Notamacropus eugenii: one gene and its partner. The protein of the gene in region 1 binds, or shares a complex with, the protein of each later gene. Links are inferred from orthologs where the notes say so. Each region holds a gene or a part of one and is shown in the gene's direction. Other genes may lie near its edges. The genes, in order: CDHR5 and ANKS4B.

Region 1 (9,677 bases):
ACCATGCACAGTGCCAAAAGCTGCGGATACAAGGAAAGGCAAAAAACAATCTCTGCCTTTCAGGTGTTCCCAGTCTAATGGGGAGAAAAAGGGCAAGCGAGAGAGTTCACACCAACAACACATGGTGGTTCTGAGCTCTAATGGGCCAGAAGGATGGAGGAGTGAGCCACAGGAGGGAAGCTAGTGTGAGACAAGGCATGCTTTGGCCTTCAGAAGTGGGAAAAGATTGTATTCACTGAGTATATGCATTATAAAATAAGGAAGGAGGGAAACACCGATTTACTTTTTTTCTTTGGTCATCATGCCAAACACTTCCGTATCGGTCATGATGTGAAAGAAATTAAAAAACTCCACCTCAAGAAAAATAAAGAAAAGTCTACTTCAGTCTGTATTCAGACACTCTCAGTTCTTTCTCTGGGGATGAAGAATATCCTTCATCCTAAGGCCTTCAAAGTTGTCTTGGATCATTGTATCGGTGAGAATAGCTCAGTCATTCCCGGCTGATCACCTTATAATACTGCTGTCACTTTGTACACAGTGCATTTCACTTTGCACCAGCTCATGTAAGTCTTTCCAAGCTTTTCTGCTCATCGTTTCTTTTAGTACAATAGTATTCCAACGTAGTCACCTATGTCCAATTCTTTGCCCCCATAAATGAGCTGATAGAAATATTTTTGTGCATATAGGTCCTTTTCTTTTTTGTTTTTTATCTCTTTCGGGATAGAGACCTAGCAGCTGTCGGTTGGTTGTTGTCCTTGGTTCTTAAAGACCAAAATGACATTGTGTCTGACTGTGACTGATTGGACCAATACAAGAATGGTTCCCCGCAGGTCGGGCACAAAGAGTCCATATGAACATTTGGGGAGGATCCTCTAAATTTATGCATCTTGTATTCCTTTTGAACTGCTTCAATTCTGCTTCATTCATAAAGAACAGCATCTTCTCTGATGAGAACACACTATGCTAACTGGTCCTGTGTCTGTCTCCCATAATCAATTTCAAAGTTCTTCAGAGAGACCTTGAGAGTGTCCTTGTATCACTTCTTCTGACCACCATGTGAACGCTTGTCCTGTGTGAGTTCTCCATAAAAGAGTCTTTTTTGGCAAGCACACGTTTCGCATTAGAACAACATGGCCAACCAGGGAATGCATGGTTTTGTAACCCTTTGGGCAGAGTTCCAAATTGTGCTACACAATGGCTGAATCAGGTCATAACTCCACCAACGGTGCATTAATGTCTCATTTTCCCCACATCCCCTCCAACATTGTTCATTGTCCTTCTCTGTCCTATTAACCAATTTAATAGGTATGAGGTAGCACCTTAGAATTGTTTCAATTTTCATTTTTCCAATCAATACGGAGTTTTGTTCAGTTGGCTATAGATAGATTTGATTACTTCATCTAAAAACTGTTCATATCTTTTAATCGTTTATCAATTGGGGAATGACTCTTGCTTTTATAAATTTGACTCAGTTCTTTATATGTTTGAGAAATGAGGTCTTCACCAGAGAAACTTGCTCCAAAATTTTTTTCACCATTACTATTGCTAGTGGTTTTTCCCTCCATCCTGTCCCTCCTCAAGTGCTTTGCTTCTGACTGCTCCTTTCCCAATCTGCCCTCCTTTCTATCACCTCCCTTCCCCTCCTTTCCTGTAGGGTAAGACAGATTTCTGTACTCAACTGGATGTGTATGTTATTTCCTCTTTGAGTCAGCTATGATGAAAGTAAAGTTCACTCGCTCCCCATCACTAATTATACTCAGGATTATACTCAGTCTTGCTGGATAGGTTATTCTTGGTTGCAAAGCAACAGAATCCTGCCTCACTGCGTCCATCTCTCTGACTAGCTGCCGGCTCCCTTCCCTCTTTCCTGTTGACCTTACCTTCTAGGTTGTCTTTGGCTAGAAAGATTATTTCCCTCCATCCTTTTGTGGGTTCTGCTGCTCCAGGAATTGTTTTGGGACATTATTTAAAGGTGCTGAGAGGCAAGCACCTGCCTTTTCTCCACCGGCTTGGCTCCACTTCTCTCCTCTGAAACACACATTTATTAAGTACCTGTACAAGATGCCAGGCACTGTGCTGAGTACTTTACAAATATTATCTCTTTGGATCCTCATAATAATCTTGGAGGGGGGCGCTGCTATTATTCCTATTTGACAGTTAAGGAAACTGAGGCTGAGAGGATAAGTGACTTGCCAGGGTCACATAGCTAATAAGCCTCTGAGGGAAGATCAGTGCCACTATACTGTACCTATGGCATCTTTTCATCATCTTCCTAGACAAGGGAAGAAGGGCCATCAACAAACATTCACACACGTCTTTCTTTTTTTTTTTACTTTAAAATTTCTTTATTCTTGATTAAAGAATGTACACTGAGCTATTCACCAGCTACAAAAAATAAATGTTCAATAATAATTTCCAGAGCTGCATTATACATAACTCTGGGGTTCAACAAGTATCTTTTACAGTCAAATTAAATAGTATTTGAAATATATCAAGACATAAAGTTCACTCAAACTTCAAATAATGGTAAATGAATCCCTGAATTAAAAATCTCTGGTCTGCCCATGATTAACTACTTTAATTTACTACTGTTAAGTGTTAGATTTTTTTAAACAGTAAATATACTTCATACTTGTCTTATACTCAAATATGCCATGAGTCAAATTAGACCTCTGAAGTTACTGTCTTTAGTTACAGGACATTCACTTTATGGAGAAAAATGGCTATGGTTTAATAATAAAAAAAAAAATCTACAAAGGGATAATCAGTTAAGGGAAAGCAGTTATACCTGTTCACCTCTAACTCAAGCCCCTCAGAGCATTCTGATTGCTACACCTGTTTCTTACGCATAGAAAGACAACAGCGATTTCTTTAGCCTATCAATTCAGGAAGGGAACCTCTAGGTTCTGATGAAGACACCAAATATATGTTAAGTGTAATGTGTAAAGGAGACCTATGGGGAAAGCAAGGATTTTGTACTAAATGATACTCTGAACTAGCAACAACTATCAAAGTTAAATAGTTTTTTTGAGGGGGCAATTTGATGAAAACTGAGCATTTGGGGGTGAAATTCACAGAAATAGGCATAACTTGCACATATTCTACTCTTCTATATGCAGTAATTTTTTATATATTATTGTAGATTCCAGTTTGTGGTTTCTTCATAATTTAAAAAGCCACATGGGTCTTCAATACTTGGTATTGTTTATTTATTCACTTTCCCAAAGTATTCTTTGGAAGCATTCAGAGATGGCTTGATCGTAAGCGAATTTGGTGTCCAATTTGCTGGACAGACCTCTCCATGTACTTCCACAAACTGGAACGCCTTCACCAAACAAAGAGTTTCTTCCACACTTTGGCCCACAGGGAGATCATTGATACTCATGTGTTTGATAACTCCGTTAGGGTCAATTAAGAAGAGACCTCTTAATGCAAGGCCAGGTCCTTCAAGCAGAACACCATAGTCCTGGGAAATTTGTTTGGTTAAATCTGACAGGAGCAGAATATTCATATGGCCTAAACAACCACTATTTCTTGGTGTATTTATTCAGGCCAGATGGCTAAATTGGGAATCCACTGAAACCGCAACGACTTCACAGCTCACATCATGAAATTCGTTAGCTTTGTCATTAAAAGCAACAATTTCTGTCAGACGCACAAAAGTGAAATCAAGAGGATAGAAGAAAAGCACCAAATATTTGCCTTTAAAGTCATCAAGGCTGATTTCTTTGAATTCTCCTTTGACAACAGCTGTACCCTTAAAATATGGAGCATGTTGGGTTACAGCAGGCACATAAGTTGAAGAACTGGTGCTGAAGGAAAATTTTGAATTGGCCAGGAATGTGTTTCTAGCAGCAGCAGGTCTAAAGGCTGCAGAAATGCCCAAAGGAAAGGAGTTCACATGGTGAGCAACCAAAGCCCGAAGTAACCTTCCCAAGGAAACCACCATCTTCCAAGCCTCACACGCACTTCTTTGCCTCTCTACCCTGACCACCCCTCCAGCACAAATGCCCCCCTGCCCATAGAATCCAGGTAGGAACTCCCCACCCTCCTGGGCTGGGGGATGTTGGTGGTGACCCCATAGGCTAGCATGGACATTCCTGTTGGGGTGATGGGGTTGCCAGTGGAATCACTTGAGAAAATTCCAACTTTTCTAGCTGGTGAATGAAACAAGATTACAAAAGAAGTTACTGATTCAATCAAAGGAAAATGGGGAAAGCAAACCTAAGGTCTGGGTCTTGTGTCTTCTGAGACAGAGCACAGAGGCTACCTTTCTCCTGCTCACTCCATTGTCATCTTGCACTTTCTCAGGAGTAGAATGGTCTGCCAGCCAAAGGAGGCTTAAAGTGGGAGAGGCGGGGTGGGGGCACAGAAGGCAGTAATTATACTAAGTCAGCTGCCTGGGACCGGCCAATCCGCCAAAGTCTGGGGGGCATTCAGCTCTTTGGGAGTTTTCTTTGTACTCTGACTTTTCTATCTTTCTAACTTTGCTTAGAAAGGAAGCCTAGTAGCCCTGACCTCCTTAGCCTTGGAATAAAACCCTCTGTAGCTAATCTCCAGTGAACGTTCCCCACCTCAATCAGCCCCCAGTGGGTGGAGATAAGTATGATCAGAGAGGATCAATCTTGCCCTCTCTCTCCCTGAGTTCTAGAGCCCTGCACTTGGAGTCAGGAGGACCTGAGTTCAAACCCAGCCTCAGACATTTACTAGTTAAATGACCCTGGACAAGTTGCTTCACTCTATTTGCCTCAGTTTCCTCATCTGTAAAATGAGCTAGAGAACCAAATGGCAAACCCCTCTAGTATCTGTGCCAGGAAAACCACAAACGGGGTCACAAAGCATCAGATATGACTTGATAACAACAAACAGAACAGTCTGTGAGAGTCAAATGCCATCCTATCTGGACGTTTCTATGTATTCTCCAATGCTTAATACAGGACTAGGGAACTTACAGCCTCGAGGCCACGTGTGGCCCTCTAGGCCCTCAAATGCAGCCCTTTACTGTATCCAAACTTCACAAAATGAATCCTCTGTGCACAAATGCTCTGTGAAGTTTGGATTCAAAGTCGCACTTGGGAGCCATGAGACCACAGGTTTCCCCACTCCTGGCTTAACACAATGCCAGGCATATATTAGGTACTTGAGAAAGACTAGTTGACTATTTGTAAACTTTAGACCACTATAGAAATGTGAGTTACTGGTTTTGGTTGTTTTTGAGTGATTCAGTTCATAATGAAGAACAGAAAATTTCCCGAGCTCCTTTGCCAGAGGGCCTGTGCAGGTATCTGGGGGTCCATCCATTGCTCCCTCCCCTATGCCTGAAATGAGCAGCCTGATTCCCTTCCCAGCCCCAGCCCTGACAACCAGTCTCCCATACAAATGACCTCTCCTGTCATTCCCAGCTGAAGGAGGTCTCATCCTCTCACGTCTTCCCAAGGATTGGGCCCTCCGGGCACAGCAAGGGAACACAAAGTTCTTTTTTCCGAAGTTGAGGCCACTAACTAGTTAATGGTCTGAAATGAGGAGGGAGGGACAGGATGGATGCTCCAGAAGAACGGGCAGCCTGGGAAGCCCTCAAAGGTCCAGGGCGACTGTTTCATTTCCTCCTGTGTTCGGTGGAGGGACAAAGGGCAGGGATCTTCTGATTCTCTACAACCCAGACTCAAGCTTGTGTTCCCCAACACCTCCCCAGGGCCAGGGCCAGTCAGAGGTCGGCGTCCCAGGCTCTGTTCTGGGGTGCTGGGAGGGCTGAGACCTTGGGGGTGGGGGCGTGTCAGAGCCCTGGCTGTAGGTGCCATAAATAATCGTCATTTGCCCGTCTCAAAGGTCGCTCTCCGTTCCTTCGTGCCAGGAGAGCAGCAGGGCAGGGCCGGCTGAGCCAAGCCAGGCTGAAGGATCTTTTCTCCCCTTCCTCAGAGGCTCCCCGGGTGGAGGGCTGGGTTGCTCTCCCACCATGGAGGCCTCTGGGTGGACGCTGGGGCTTCTGCCACTGCTGCTGCTTCTCCCTGGAGCTGAGGGCCAGACCCAGGGTAGTGGGGTTGAAAAGAAGGCAGGGCTTGGGGGAGAGAGTCAGGGAGGCAAGGGAGATGGTGAAGGGCAGGAAAGGATGGGGGCTGGGGGGTAGGAGGGGCTGAGGGAGGAGAGGCTGGGAGCAGGGGGCTGGGGGGAGGAGGGTTTGAGGGAGGAGAGGCTGGGGGCAGGGATGGAGGGGGCTTCCAGGGAAGTTCAGGGGTTAGTGCTGATTCAGAGTGGGAATCCCCTCCCCCCCACAGTGTGCTCTGTGAATCAGACGCTGCTCTCTGTGACTGAGAATGAGCTCCCTACCGAACCCCTAGCCACGGTCACAGCACCCCTGGGGCAGACAGTGGTTGTGAGTGACTTATCCAGTCCTAAGGACATCTTCGATATTGTGAATGGTCAGCTGAGGCTCACCAGGGCCCCTGATTATGAGGTGAGCCAGGATCCAACCCCCTATGCCATCCCTTTTCCCCTTCCTGGGTCCTCTAGGTATTCCCCTATGTTCACCCCACCTCAGGCAGGGAGGCAGGAAGAGGGACCCCGCTCAATCTGTCACATAAGAGTGTGGATGTCCAGAGGCCTGGTTTGTTTTGAGAATGACTGGTTCTGCATTCCCTTCTTTCTCCCACCCAGACACATACCGTGTTGACTGCAATGTTAGAATGCAAGGAGGGGTCTGAAGTGGTGAGTGTGGGGGCTAGGCATCGGGATGGGGAAGTGGGTTGGACTGAAGGAATGACTGCTGACCTCTAACCCCTGGGTTGCCCCAGGTGACCACTCTGCCTGTGATTGTGGAGGTTCTCAATGTCAATGACATGGCCCCGGTGTTTGCCTTTTCCAGTAAGGCCTGGAATGTCAGTGAGGTGAGCTACACAATGCACAGGGTGGTGTGGTGGGGACTGGGGTTCAAACCAGGGATGGAGCTGAGCTGTTCCCACTCAAACTTCCTAAATTTTGGGCAGAACACCAACGTGGGGACTACTGTCATCTCAGCCACAGAACTCACAGCCATAGACAAGGATGGGGACACGATCTTCTACAATCTCTCAGGGCAGAGCCCCTCGGTCAGTTGACCTGGCTTCCTCCTGGGCACCCTCTCTCCCTCCCCCAACCCCTCCAGGACTCCGGAGCATCTTTCTCCCCCCAACTCCCAGTCAGACCCTGGCGCTAGGCTCCACTGGGGTATATGACTCAGCCACTTACCTGAGATGGGGGGGCGTTGGGGGGAAAGAGAAGGGAGCATTGGGTTCCAACTGGTTCCTGCCCCCTCCACTTCCACCTCAGGATGCAGACCTGGTTTTCTCCCTGGTTGGGGTTAACTTCCCTGCCCTTCAACTGACCCGGGCTCTGGACTACGAGAAGACCCCAATCCTGGTCTTCCACCTTCTGGCAAGAGTGAGTTCCTCCCCTTCCTGGGTCCCCAAGGAGTCTGGCTGTGTGGTTCTAGGTAGTCCTGGCCGCTGTCTAGGCCTTGACTTCTCCCTCTATAAAATGAGGGATGCTTCCTCAGGCTCTTTGAGCTCTATCTATGTGCTGGAGCCTTTGGGCACATAGGTGTCCTGACAGACCAAAACGGCAAAGCCTATGCCCAGTGACCCCCAGTTCCCAAGTAGACCTCTTTATCCTCTAAGACCAGGAGCTTTGAAGGGGATCATAGAAAAGAGTACCCCCGCACCAATATGGAGTGGTCAGTGAGGCCCTGCTGTATCCCACTCATGTGTGGCTGGGGTCTCTGCCACAGGACACTTCAGAGCCAGCGGTGAAGCCCAGCCACACCTCCACAGCCACAGTCATAATTCAAGTGATACCTGCAGACATACGCCCTCCATGGTTCTTACCCTGTGTGTTCACTGATGGGCGAGTCTGCATCAATGCACAGTACCGAGCAGCTGTGCCGACTGGCTCCATACTGGTAATGTCCATGCTTGGGGTGGGGGGCAGGGAGGCATCTCTCCTCACATGCTCTCCTAACCACCCATGCTCAGTAGCCAGAAGGGAGGGCCAGTGAAGGTCTCCCAAAGGGCTCCATTGATCACAGTGTCCATCCCTGGGGGCTCCAACCTGACCCCAACTGGACTTCAGAGAGTTCCTGAAAAGAGTGAGCAGTACCTGGACCTTCCTGCCAAGGAAGCAGGGCTGAGGCCACTGGTGGGCATGTCTGGGAGGATACAGGAAGGACTTCCTTGAGAATCTGGGCCAAATTAAGAGAGAAAATAATTATTAAGTGACTAGGGCTGGAGACTATTTCCATCCAGAGTCTGACACAGCTGAGATGAGGAGGATGAGAACCTTGGAGACTTTCAGATCCTTTGGAGACTTGTGCCCCGAACCTCATATTCTTGCATGTTTCTGACCCCGCTCAAGCTTGGGTCCAGTCCCCAGCCCTAATCATTTAATAACAATTTTCTCTCCTAATATGACCTAGTTTCTCAAGGAAGTTCCCTCCATAATCTCCCAGATGAGCCCACCAGTGGCCTTATTTCTGCCTCCTCGGCAGACAGGTCTGGGCACTGCTCACTTCCTGCAGGAAATTTGTACAGGCCAATTAGGGTCAGTTTGGGACTCAAGAGATGGACACTGTAGAAGGCTACCAGTCCTCTCACCTGGCCAGTCTGTGTGACTAGGGGAGGCTGGGTCAGAGACACCACCCCCACTGGTTCTCCTCTTACCTTCCTGTAGACATTACCCCTGACCTTCGAACCCGGGCCTGTATATGCAATTGATGGAGACACTGCCATCAACGAACCAATCAGATACAGCATTATTGCAGGTGAGATCCATCCTACCCCTGCCAACCCATCAGAGTCTAGGCCCTCTGTGCTGCCTGCCCACCACACTATCTCTGGGTGGAGGAGGGGGCAGGCACAAAGATGACTGAAGGTGACCTCCCTTCCCCCCAAACTTCCCCAGGGAATGCAGATGATACATTTCAAATTGACGTGGACTCAGGCAACGTCACCATGGCCAAAGCTGTCCCTGTCCCCAAGACTTTCAACCTGGTAGTCCAGGTGAGAAGCAGGTCTAGGTATGCTCCCCTTCTTAGCCTATGCCCTCCCCAACTGGGAGGGTGTCCCTCTAGCTGTGGCCTGGGCCCTCTGCTCTTCTCCCTGTTTCACCTGGAGATCTTATCAGCAACCATGGATTAATGACCATCTCTGTGCTGAGGATTCTCAAATCAATCTATCCTTCCCGCCCCCACTTCCCAACTGACCTCCAGTCTTCCATCTACCCTTCAGACATCTTGAACTGGACGTAGACATCTGAAACTCAACATGTCCAAAACTGAAGTTCTTTTTCCCCAAACCTTCTGTATTAGTGTGGAGGGTACCCTTCTCCTGGTCCCTCAGGGTCCCAACTTTGACTGGACTCCTGGACTCCTGACTTTTACCCCCCAGCTCCAATGTGTTGACTAAAGTCTGTAACTTTCACCTCTGCAGCATGTCTTGTAGATTTCACTTATCCAGCACCTCTTGTAGATTTCACCTCTAAGTATCTCTTGTCTTCTATTTCACTTCTGTCTCTTGTAGATTTCACCTCTAAGTTTCTCTGGTCCATTTCACCTCTAAGTATCTCGTGTCTTCTATTTCACTTCTATCTCTTGTAGATTTCACTTATCCAGCACCTCTTGTAGATTTCACCTCTAAGTATCTCTTGTCTTC
Region 2 (9,739 bases), on another chromosome or scaffold:
AAGTTGTCTGACTGGGCAGCTTCTAGCCATCAAAATTTACCTTCCTTTGGAGAGGAGAGGGAAGGGACAGGATGAGCTGAGTTACCCTACTGGCTAGGTCCCCATTCAGGCAGCTCGGACTACTCACAGGGTTGTTTGTCCTTAGTGTTCGAGGAGGATCATGACATCAGGGAAATGATGACATGACTTTCAGTTAGTTTTGATTTGAGTGAGTACATTGATAATGCATTTTTGCTTACTGTTAATATAATTTTGCTTTTTAATGGGAAGATCTTCCTTACCCATTAATGGACCTGGGAAGATTTGTAGGAAGGCTCATACCTTTTGTTAATTTTCTAATGAGGTATTGACTCTGAAGGGTTGTGATGCCCTCTGGCTCTAAAAAATGTATAAATACTCTGAGGGTGAAGTTTTACTTTGGGGCTTACTGACTGGAAGTATTTGTTTGGCTTGATGAGATTCTGAGAAGGCACTAAGCAGCCCCTCTAGCTTTGAAAACCCAGATGTTGGTGCTTCCCTTTCTGGAAAATATATCTGAGACTGTGACAGCCCTCCCCCCACAAAGAAGGGGTGCTTGTTGCTACAGTGAGAGAGGGCTGTGCAAGGTCACCAGCCTCACTTTCTCCTCTAGAGCCATCTGGATCAAGTGGCCAGATATTCATCAGGATGACTAGAGATGGCCCAGGATGCAATGGGAGACCCCGACCCTTTTTAGGCTAAGGCCTTGTACACAGAAAGGCATGAGGGACCGAAGAGAAGACAACATATGAGACTGTGGAGGTATGGATGGTAAATGAAACCATGTGAGTTGATGATTCACTAGTAGAATTTTTTCAGAGAAAAGCCAAGGAACCTAATCAAGTCATTAGCATCCTTTTCTATTGATAATCACTTGCATATTATTTTAAGTTTGATTTATAATTCAGTCTGCCATAGTGAAAGAAAATGGCAGCCAATAAAAGCTTTAAAGAGGTCATCTATTCTGTAATTTTACATGGATTTTGATGACCTTTGTTATCTGAAAAGGGGTAACAAGTATATGATTATCCTGATTGAGACTTTCAGGTCAGAATAATTTATTGGTATGAAATCTGAAAAATGGAGAAGAAAGAGAGAACTTTCCCTAGATCACAAAAGCCAATTAATTGCAAATGTAGAATTAAAATTCATAGCACTTACTGCGAATGTCTCTTCTCCCCCCGCCCCTCTCCATTTTTCTTCGTTATAAAGCACATCTAAATCATGAGAGGGTTGGTTTCTTTCTCTCTTTTCTTTTCTTTTTTGGCTGGACTTAAAAAACAAAAAACAAAAAGCCCTCTTTATTGTTTCTGGTCCTAATTAGACTGTAATACCGTCTGGGATTTAGCATTTTTAAAATATGCAGTTGAGAGATGCCAAATAATACCTCATGCAAACCAGATGGTACAATAGCAACTTTGTCTTTTATTCTGGCAGGAAAATAGGACTGTGAATAGTTTGAAACTTATGTGAACAAATTAAGTCCCACCAGCCCTTCAGAAGCGTTAAAATTCCATGAGTCAATCTACCCACCTAGTTTTTCTCTTACATTTTAATATGAAAGAGAAAAAAGAATGGGTAGGCAATGGTAATGATGTGAGGAAAAAGTGTCTTTTTACATCCTTTTAATAGGAAAACAAGGCAATTATTCTTAGTATCTGAAATCTTGTGAACAAGAAAAGTCTTATTCAAGTTGGTTGAAACAGTTTTGGCCGAATGGCAAAAAAGAAAACAGAGATCTAGCAGTCATTTTCTGAAGAGTTCATTTGACAACAATGTGCTTATCTGAACAGATAATGAGATTTTATAGGATAATGCACAAGTTCACAACAGATTGCAAGGTAGCGAAGTGAGGTATTGTTTGTACTTTCCTATGGGTCATGTTGTTAAGGGTTTTTTTTGAAACTCCTTTATTTCCTGGTTGGTTTTGCCTTAAATGAAATACAAAACCAAGGCAACATGAATTGAAAGGCAGATTTCCTCTCATTGCCTTTTTCCTTATTACCAAAATATGTGTGGGTTTCTGTTCCATGCAAGCAAGTTTCTTTTATAATCAGAAATGAAAAGCTTTAGAGACTGGAGAGAAACTGCTTATTGAAAACTAGATCTCTTGAGGGCAAGAGAGAGTATACTTATTACATGAATATATGTATTTCTGGGCCACTCAAGCCACTGAATTTCTCTTACAGTTTAGCAATGAATAGCTTTATAAAACAAAGGGAAAAAAATCTAGTTGGAAGTTTGCTAGCAAGTTTCTCTCAGGGTGGATTAGAAATTTGTACACATATGAATTTGTAATACCCTTTGCTTTCTTCTCTCTGTCCTCCCCACCCTCTACCTAAATGACCACAAAGGAATGAAATACCTTGCAGTTCCTAATAAAATAATTTTACTACTGCTACTTTTAGTCAATTCAAATTGGACTCTTTAATATATCTGACCCAGAATGCACATGCTCATACTTGATATCTTTCCTTTAGTTAGATTTACAGGAGAAACTGCAAATCTGTGGGAATAAAAAACCCTGCAGACTAAACCCTGAATTGAAAAAGTTAGTGCTGGCACAGCAAGAGTTACCAGTTGAAGATATGGGAAAACCTACCAAATTAGATCACTTCAATTAAATCAACTAAATCTCTTTTTTTAACCTTTTCCCATGGCCAGAAGTGGCATTAAGAATGGACTGACAAGCTATCCCATCAGTCAGGGTTGGCCAAGTTAGAATGATAAGATAATAAAAACAATACGAACAACAATAATGCATCTTTTCAAAACACAGAGAAGGTAACTGGATATCAGAATTAGGAAGAGACAGCAGAACACTGTCCAAATACACGGCTGAGTCTAACCAAAGTTCCAGAAGGAAATTGAATGCTATGAAATTGCAGCAACCAAGCTTGACTTGAAAGAAGAAATAGAACAAGGCAGTTCCTTACCTTTTTGGAAGAAGTGGAGGATTATGAAGTTTGAAATAATATTGACAATGTTGGACTTTTTTCCGTTGTGTTGCTTTGTTGAACTGATTTCTATCTTTTAAAAATTTTTTTGTTATAAGGATAGCTCTCTGTGAAGGGAAGGAGGAGAGAAAAATTGGGAAATATAGGTACTGTAAAAACAAAAGATACCATAAAATTTGTTTTGGAAAGAAATGCGAAAAAAATATTGGATTTTTTTAAAAAAGGAAAAACAACAACAAGAAATTCCACAAATTTTTTAAAAAGAAATAAGAAAATTTAGAATAGAAAACAGGTCTGAGATTAATCAATAAACCAGAGCTTCTACTAAAGAATTCAGCAAAACAAATGAGTAAGTAGGTAGTTAATAAATGTGGATGGGTGAAAGCCAGTTTGATTGATAAGGCCGTAGATGCCCCCCACAACCCCCAAGCAAGTATACAAAAACCCAGACATTAAGCTCCATTTTCAACCTTTTCCTGGAATGGTACTATTAGAATTAAATTTCCTTTTTCCCTTCTCCTCATTTCTAGTTCCCTGCTCATGTCCCTCCTTCTTCATTAGGTAATTTTATAAATACTCTCACTTTTTGGGTTCTATAGAAAACAAGTCAGCCTTACCTTGGTAAGATACTGCTTCTTTTCTCAAACAATCTATGAATTTTAGCCTGAGGGTTTCTATCAACTGAAGTATGGATCCTTCCTCCTCCCACCCCTGCTACCTGGTGCTACCCCACTGCAGGTACAGGGGCTGTACATTGAGATTGTCCCTGAAATCAGCTTTCTTGCCCTATGAGGGGAAATAAAGTTTATTAATTCTGTGTAGGATGATGCTTTTCATCTAGATTCTCCTACAATACAAAAACATATGTCTATAAAACCATTGAAACTGTAAAAAAGGAATGAAAGATTTGGGATTCAAAACTATAGATAAGGAAAATTTGGTAAAACAGAGCCAAAGGATAACATCGTTAGAAGAATTCATATTCTACAAAAGTCAAACTGACCTTGAGAAAAGGACTCAGAGATAAACTGAGGATTATTGATATCCTGGGAAAATGTTATTGATTTGAAAATTCTGACTACCGTACTGTAGGAACAATGCATGAAAATTATCTAGGAATATTGAAAATGGATGACAGAGTTCTGATCGATGGCAATCCTGGAGGACAGATAAGATCTTTAATCTCTAAGCAACACAGTAGTTAAACACCAAATTTCAATGTCTAATAATAGATACTGCAGGCAGAAAAGAGAGAGGCTTTTAGATATTAGGGAAAAGCTATTCAAATAACCTTTGGAATATGATATAATATCCCTCCCCCACCCCAGCCAAGGCAATCAGAATCCATCCCAAAATATGCAATGTGGAGCATCTTCATCAATAACAAAAGATTTCACCAAAAAAGGGACTGTAAAAAGAAGTGCTATTGATGCCTTTTTCTTGTTATATCACAGTCATTCAAGACATTCTTTCTTTCCCCAAAGCTTTCTCTTTCAAAGCCTTCCCAAAGAAAGCTATTGTCATCATTCTTTCTAAAGACACCAGAGACAAACAGGTTACTTGATCTAGAAATACTTCAAATGGGAGAAACGCAAGACAAGTAAATAAACAGTTAAGAAGCAAAAAAGAAATCCATATAATTAACAAATTCTCTCAAGGTTTGGGGGCAAGATATGGATATTGTTTTGGTTTTGGTTTTTTTAAAGAAAATTACATTGGTTGAGAGACAAAGAAAGATTATCTAGGGCCAAAAGAAATTAAAATGATTAAAATAGGAATGACAGTAAATTTAAATTGTGTGGATTAAAAGCTTCTTCATAAGTGAATCAACATTTCTGTTCGATTCATTCTTCATTCCCAGGTTAGCCATAACCCCTGAACAAAGTTAGCCTGCTCTAGGAGAATTTGTTCCTCTTTGCAACCAAATGACTCAGTTATCTCAAATACTCCTCCTACTGTTTACATGGCAACCAGGAAAAGGATCAAAGGTCAGCTTAAATCTCTAATTATTGTTGAGAAGTAGCTGAGAACGGAAGACCCATGAAACGTAAAAGCATCCCCCTGGAATAATGTCTTCTTTGTGACAGTGGGGGACAGAGAAAACAGAAGAGAGGAAAGCATAGTTTAAAAAGATACTTTCCCAATAAAATCTGGGGAGTAGTGCTAGATTATATGACAATGAAAACTGTCTCCTTTTGTTCAATGACTATATTGCCTATGTCACCTTTATGATAATCAGTTAGTGATGTAACCTCTGTTTCAGTTCCTTTTTCCCCCAAACTGTAAAATACTTGGGAGTGTGAAGGAAATAAAATAACCATTGGCAGCCATTCTGGAAGGAAAATTTCCTCTGTCAGATCTAAGTACTTTTCTGGCTTCCTCCAGGGAGGCAGACAGGTGATGAGCTTTGCCCTCATATTTCTACCTTATTGAAGGTATACTGCAGTTTATAGTCACTGATTAACCCCTCCCATTGAGGCAGGGCTGCTGGGTAGGCCTCTGCCTGGCAGAAGACTTAGGGCAAACACTCTGAGTGCTGGCTGAGGTAAGAGAAGAGCTGAATTTAAAATGTCCACCCGGTACCACCAAGCTGCGACTGATGGCTACCTGGAAATTCTGAAAGAGGCTACCAAGCGAGATCTTAATCTGTCTGATGAAGATGGCATGACTCCCACACTCCTGGCAGCCTACCATGGCAACTTGGAAGCTCTGGAGATCATCTGTAGTAGGGGGTAAGTTTAGACTATAGTTTTTGATAAAGGCCAAGTTACTCAGGGGATTTTTTCACATGAGAGTAAAGTAAATGGCACGTGGGACAAATCCTACAAGTCTTTCCTGAAGTCTTTAAATAACTGCCTCCTTGGGAAATGGGGAAATCCTATAGTTAGCGCCTCTTCCTTGTGTTTTACAATTCTGAATGACAGGCCTATCTCAATAATAATGATTGTGATAATAATAATAGACATTTACCTAGATCCAGAAATGCATTTTTTTTTAACCATTGAGCTGATGCTAGGTTTTTTGTTTTATTTTGTTTTGCCATTGAGGATGGAGCAAGATGATCTGGTGATAATGGCAAAGAATAGATGATGTTTCTTTTATAAGCCAGAGACACTGGAATGTGTTGCCAAGGATAAATACTTAAAAATCTTTGCTGAATATTTTCAAGACGATAAACTCCGTGTATCTGGCATGATTTTAAAATGCAGTTTAAATGAGTAGGAGGTGGGGATAGGAGAGAAGCAATTCTATTATTTTATGAATCTTTTTACCCAAAAGTAAATGCTCAACTTTTAAGAAGTTCTATTTCCAAGAACATTACCAGCATAAATTCCAGTTTATAGAATTTTTATTTTCTCTTCACCTATGAAGTCGCTGGATGAAGTTGTTCCCTTCTTGAAGATCTGGTCCCTGACACCGTAGCGAGACCCAGTTTCAAAGTTGGATGGCAGGCTTATTTATGAGTCAATTAAATAAGCTATAAATAGGACTTTGAGTTTGCCTCACTATGGGAACTACTTCATCCAAAACTAGGCCTAAACAATGATCTCTCTTTGTTCTAATTGAGGCATTAGCAATTTGCTTAATTCTGAGGACCACCAATAGAACTAAGCAGTATATGTGTTGGGGGGAGTGCAATAAAGGGGGAGGGAGGGAGGGAGGGAGGAAAGGAGGGAGGGAGGGAGGGAGAGAGGGAGAGAGAGAGAGAGAGAGAGAGAGAGAGAGAGAGAGAGAGAGAGAGAGAGAGAGACAGAGAGAGAGACAGAGACAGAGAGAGAGAGAGAGACAGAGAGAGAGAGAGAGACAGAGACGGGGGGGGCATTACACAGAAAGAAAGGAGGAAAGAAATTGAAAAGATGTTTATGATGGAGAATATCAGGGTCAAGGCCAGCCCTAGACATAGTGGTGAAATTAGCAAAGTTTTACGTATTCTGTTCAACTTTGACATTGACTTCCCCCAACTCCCAATTATAGGGATGTCTCCCTTAGTCTGCTACTCTCCTGCTGTTCCTTGACTCCCTTACTCCTTAACCTTTCTCTGCTTCTCTGTGAAATTTATTTAACATCTACTCTCATTAGTTTCAAAGATGATCTAATAAACTAGCTTTCCCCAATGTGCTAATGGAAAAAGGCTTAAAAGCCATTCTGAGGTAAATTATATTAATGGGAGCTTTTTCCAGCTTTGTCCTCTAGTCCACTTGTAATCCACAGGTGATGATTTCAGATCAGAAAGGTAAGAATAGTTTTAGGCACTGAGCTTTCCATGCACCTCTAGGATGATGCCTATCCACTTATTTTCATATAGGATTAGCTTTGGGCAGAATCATTTCTTCAGGATCTACCTTACTCCAAGTACAGAAAAGAAAATAATCAAGGTGAGGTTACCACAGAATTCCTTGTATTCCACTGAAGATGCTAACTAATTCTCAATGAATAATAAAACAAGATTCAAAAGCCAGTCCCTACCAAAAAGGATTATTCACTTAGAAAGAGAAAAGGGGCCTTAACAAAATATAAGAACATTGATTAGCCAACACAGCACAATTGTGTCAGATTGTACGAAAGGTATTATGGGATGAATGGTAGCAAAGGGGGAAGATGAACCACTTTCATTGCATTATTCAAATCAGAAAAGAAAAGTAGGGGAAAAGAGTTGGAACCTCAGCTGAACACTTTCAAGGACTGCCAATCTCAGCACAATATATGACAAGGATTGGGATTAACATAGGGAGTTATAGTGGAGAGATGAGAGTGGGGAAGGAAAGGAATATGAAAAAGGAAGAGAAAAAATCATATACCTGAAATTTCATTCCCCAGGGATCTTTAAGAATTGGAGGAATAGTTGTCTAGGATAATTTATGTATAATCTTTCCTAGAAGCAAGGGTCTAAACTAACTGACCTTGAAGGTCCTCCATTCCAGCCTCAGAATTGAATAAGTAGATTCTTAGTCATATCCATAATGTGATAGAAAACATTAATGTGACTCAGTGACCAATGCTCTTTGACACAGGCACCCTTTGCCTGTGACACTGTCACATGGACTAAGTGACCAATAAAGAGATTGCTTTATCATCCCAAACAGCTTAGTCCCATTATCAGCTCAGCACATGTCCCAATTCAGAGATGACCTAAGGGAGATCAGTTCAGCTGCATGCATATTCCATGGGATGACCACCATTGCACATTTAAGTATGGAACTGAATAATACTTATCTTGACCAGCTTACTATAAACAGAATTAGAAGAAAGAAGTTGAAGCTGAGTGTAAGGATGGTTGATAGGTATTCCTTGGTGAGACAAGGGCATTGACAGTTGGTCTTATTAGACATTCCCAAACAATAAGAAACATCAATGCATAGAACATTTGGTAATCTAATATGGTGCTCAAGATAAGTAGTTCCAAAAAGATCACTATGAAAACAATTATACCTTATGCACTAACATTTATTGTACAGAACAAAGAGAAAAATTACAGTAGAACTTGATAAGATCTTCCAAAGTAAATCAGCACATACTTGGTTACTTAGTGACTTCAATGCAAAGGTAGGACAAGGTAACAATGACAAGAAATATATTGAAAAAAAGGATCAGCAAAAAAGAATGAAAGAGTACAAAGATGAAGCCTTAAGCCTAAATGCCATGATTTTCTTCAAGAAAAGATTCATTAAGCTCTAGACGTGGTGAGAACCAAACAGCATCACAAAAGAATTTATTATCTTTTTAATAACTGGAAATGCTTCATTACTAGTGTGGGAGCAATTCCTGACCAGTCAGTCTGTAGACTTGTGAGATCAAAGATCAAAATGAATACAACACAAGGGGAAAGAATAAAAGGAAATAAAACATATGGAATGCAGTTGAAACAATTTAAACCTGACTTATAAAACAAGTTATTTTATAACTTGTTTATGTTATACAAACAAGTTATAGGGAGGAGAAATGAGGCTGGTGACCTTGCACAGATTTCCCTCACTCAAAACAAATTCAAGTACAAGTCACATCATCATTTCTCTGATGGCATGGTCTTCTTCGGCAACAAAGAATGAACCCAATGAAAAAGGTATGATAATGGTAGGAAGGGCATTGACACAGATAATAATTTTAACTTTAAACCAATTATCATAACATGGAAACTCAAAGAGTCTAAAGTCTTAGTCAGCAAATTCTTGATTTATTCACCAAAGAGAAAGAAATAGTAGCCAGAGGAAGCACTAACCTAGAATGAAACTCATTTATAAAATCTTGTTTAGTGGATGATGCAAGATTGTGAGCAGTATATACTGATAAACCAGAGAAACAGTGGACTTTATCAGAGAGAAGCAATATAGATTAGAACCAATTTAAAGAAAGTTTGACAATAGACCCAACCAAACAAGTTCATCCCAAGAAAATTAGGGATGAGAAAGGAGAGAGAACAAAAAATTTAAAAAATGAAAAAGATTTATAAGGATTTTTTAAAATCACAAATATCTTTCATCAATAAGGACAGAACCACCATACTTATACTCATAGAGGAGACAGAAATGATGCTAGAGAGAAGCAAGGTGGGAAAGCAACTGGATTGGATCAAGTATACATTGATGAGATTGATTCTGGAAGTGACACAATTATGAGGACAGGATGAGAGCAATTCATCTCTAGGCAAGGAAGATACCAAAGATACAACTATTTTTTGCATCTGTGAGAAGAGTGTAAGAAGAGAAAAGGACTTAAACCAGATAAGGAGGAGGACCTAGAGCAGGTGTGTTGGAGGCATTTGGACC

The links.
Region 2: CDHR5 (region 1) and ANKS4B share a complex: the UniProt entries of both Homo sapiens proteins name them as parts of the IMAC/intermicrovillar adhesion complex. The link is inferred for Notamacropus eugenii from reciprocal best matches to the Homo sapiens genes CDHR5 and ANKS4B.

What each region holds. Positions count from the first base shown.
Region 1 is NC_092873.1:27,702,588-27,712,264, forward strand, and holds the start of CDHR5 (cadherin-related family member 5), read left to right. Parts: upstream 1-5,858; 5' UTR 5,859-5,953; coding exon 5,954-6,029; intron 6,030-6,272; coding exon 6,273-6,451; intron 6,452-6,651; coding exon 6,652-6,702; intron 6,703-6,788; coding exon 6,789-6,881; intron 6,882-6,980; coding exon 6,981-7,082; intron 7,083-7,302; coding exon 7,303-7,413; intron 7,414-7,759; coding exon 7,760-7,930; intron 7,931-8,697; coding exon 8,698-8,788; intron 8,789-8,928; coding exon 8,929-9,026; intron 9,027-9,677. UniProt on the Homo sapiens protein: Intermicrovillar adhesion molecule that forms, via its extracellular domain, calcium-dependent heterophilic complexes with CDHR2 on adjacent microvilli. Thereby, controls the packing of microvilli at the apical membrane of epithelial cells.
Region 2 is NC_092874.1:397,908,484-397,918,222, reverse strand, and holds the start of ANKS4B (ankyrin repeat and SAM domain-containing protein 4B), read left to right. Parts: upstream 1-5,463; 5' UTR 5,464-5,543; coding exon 5,544-5,707; intron 5,708-9,739. UniProt on the Homo sapiens protein: As part of the intermicrovillar adhesion complex/IMAC plays a role in epithelial brush border differentiation, controlling microvilli organization and length. Plays a role in assembly of the complex.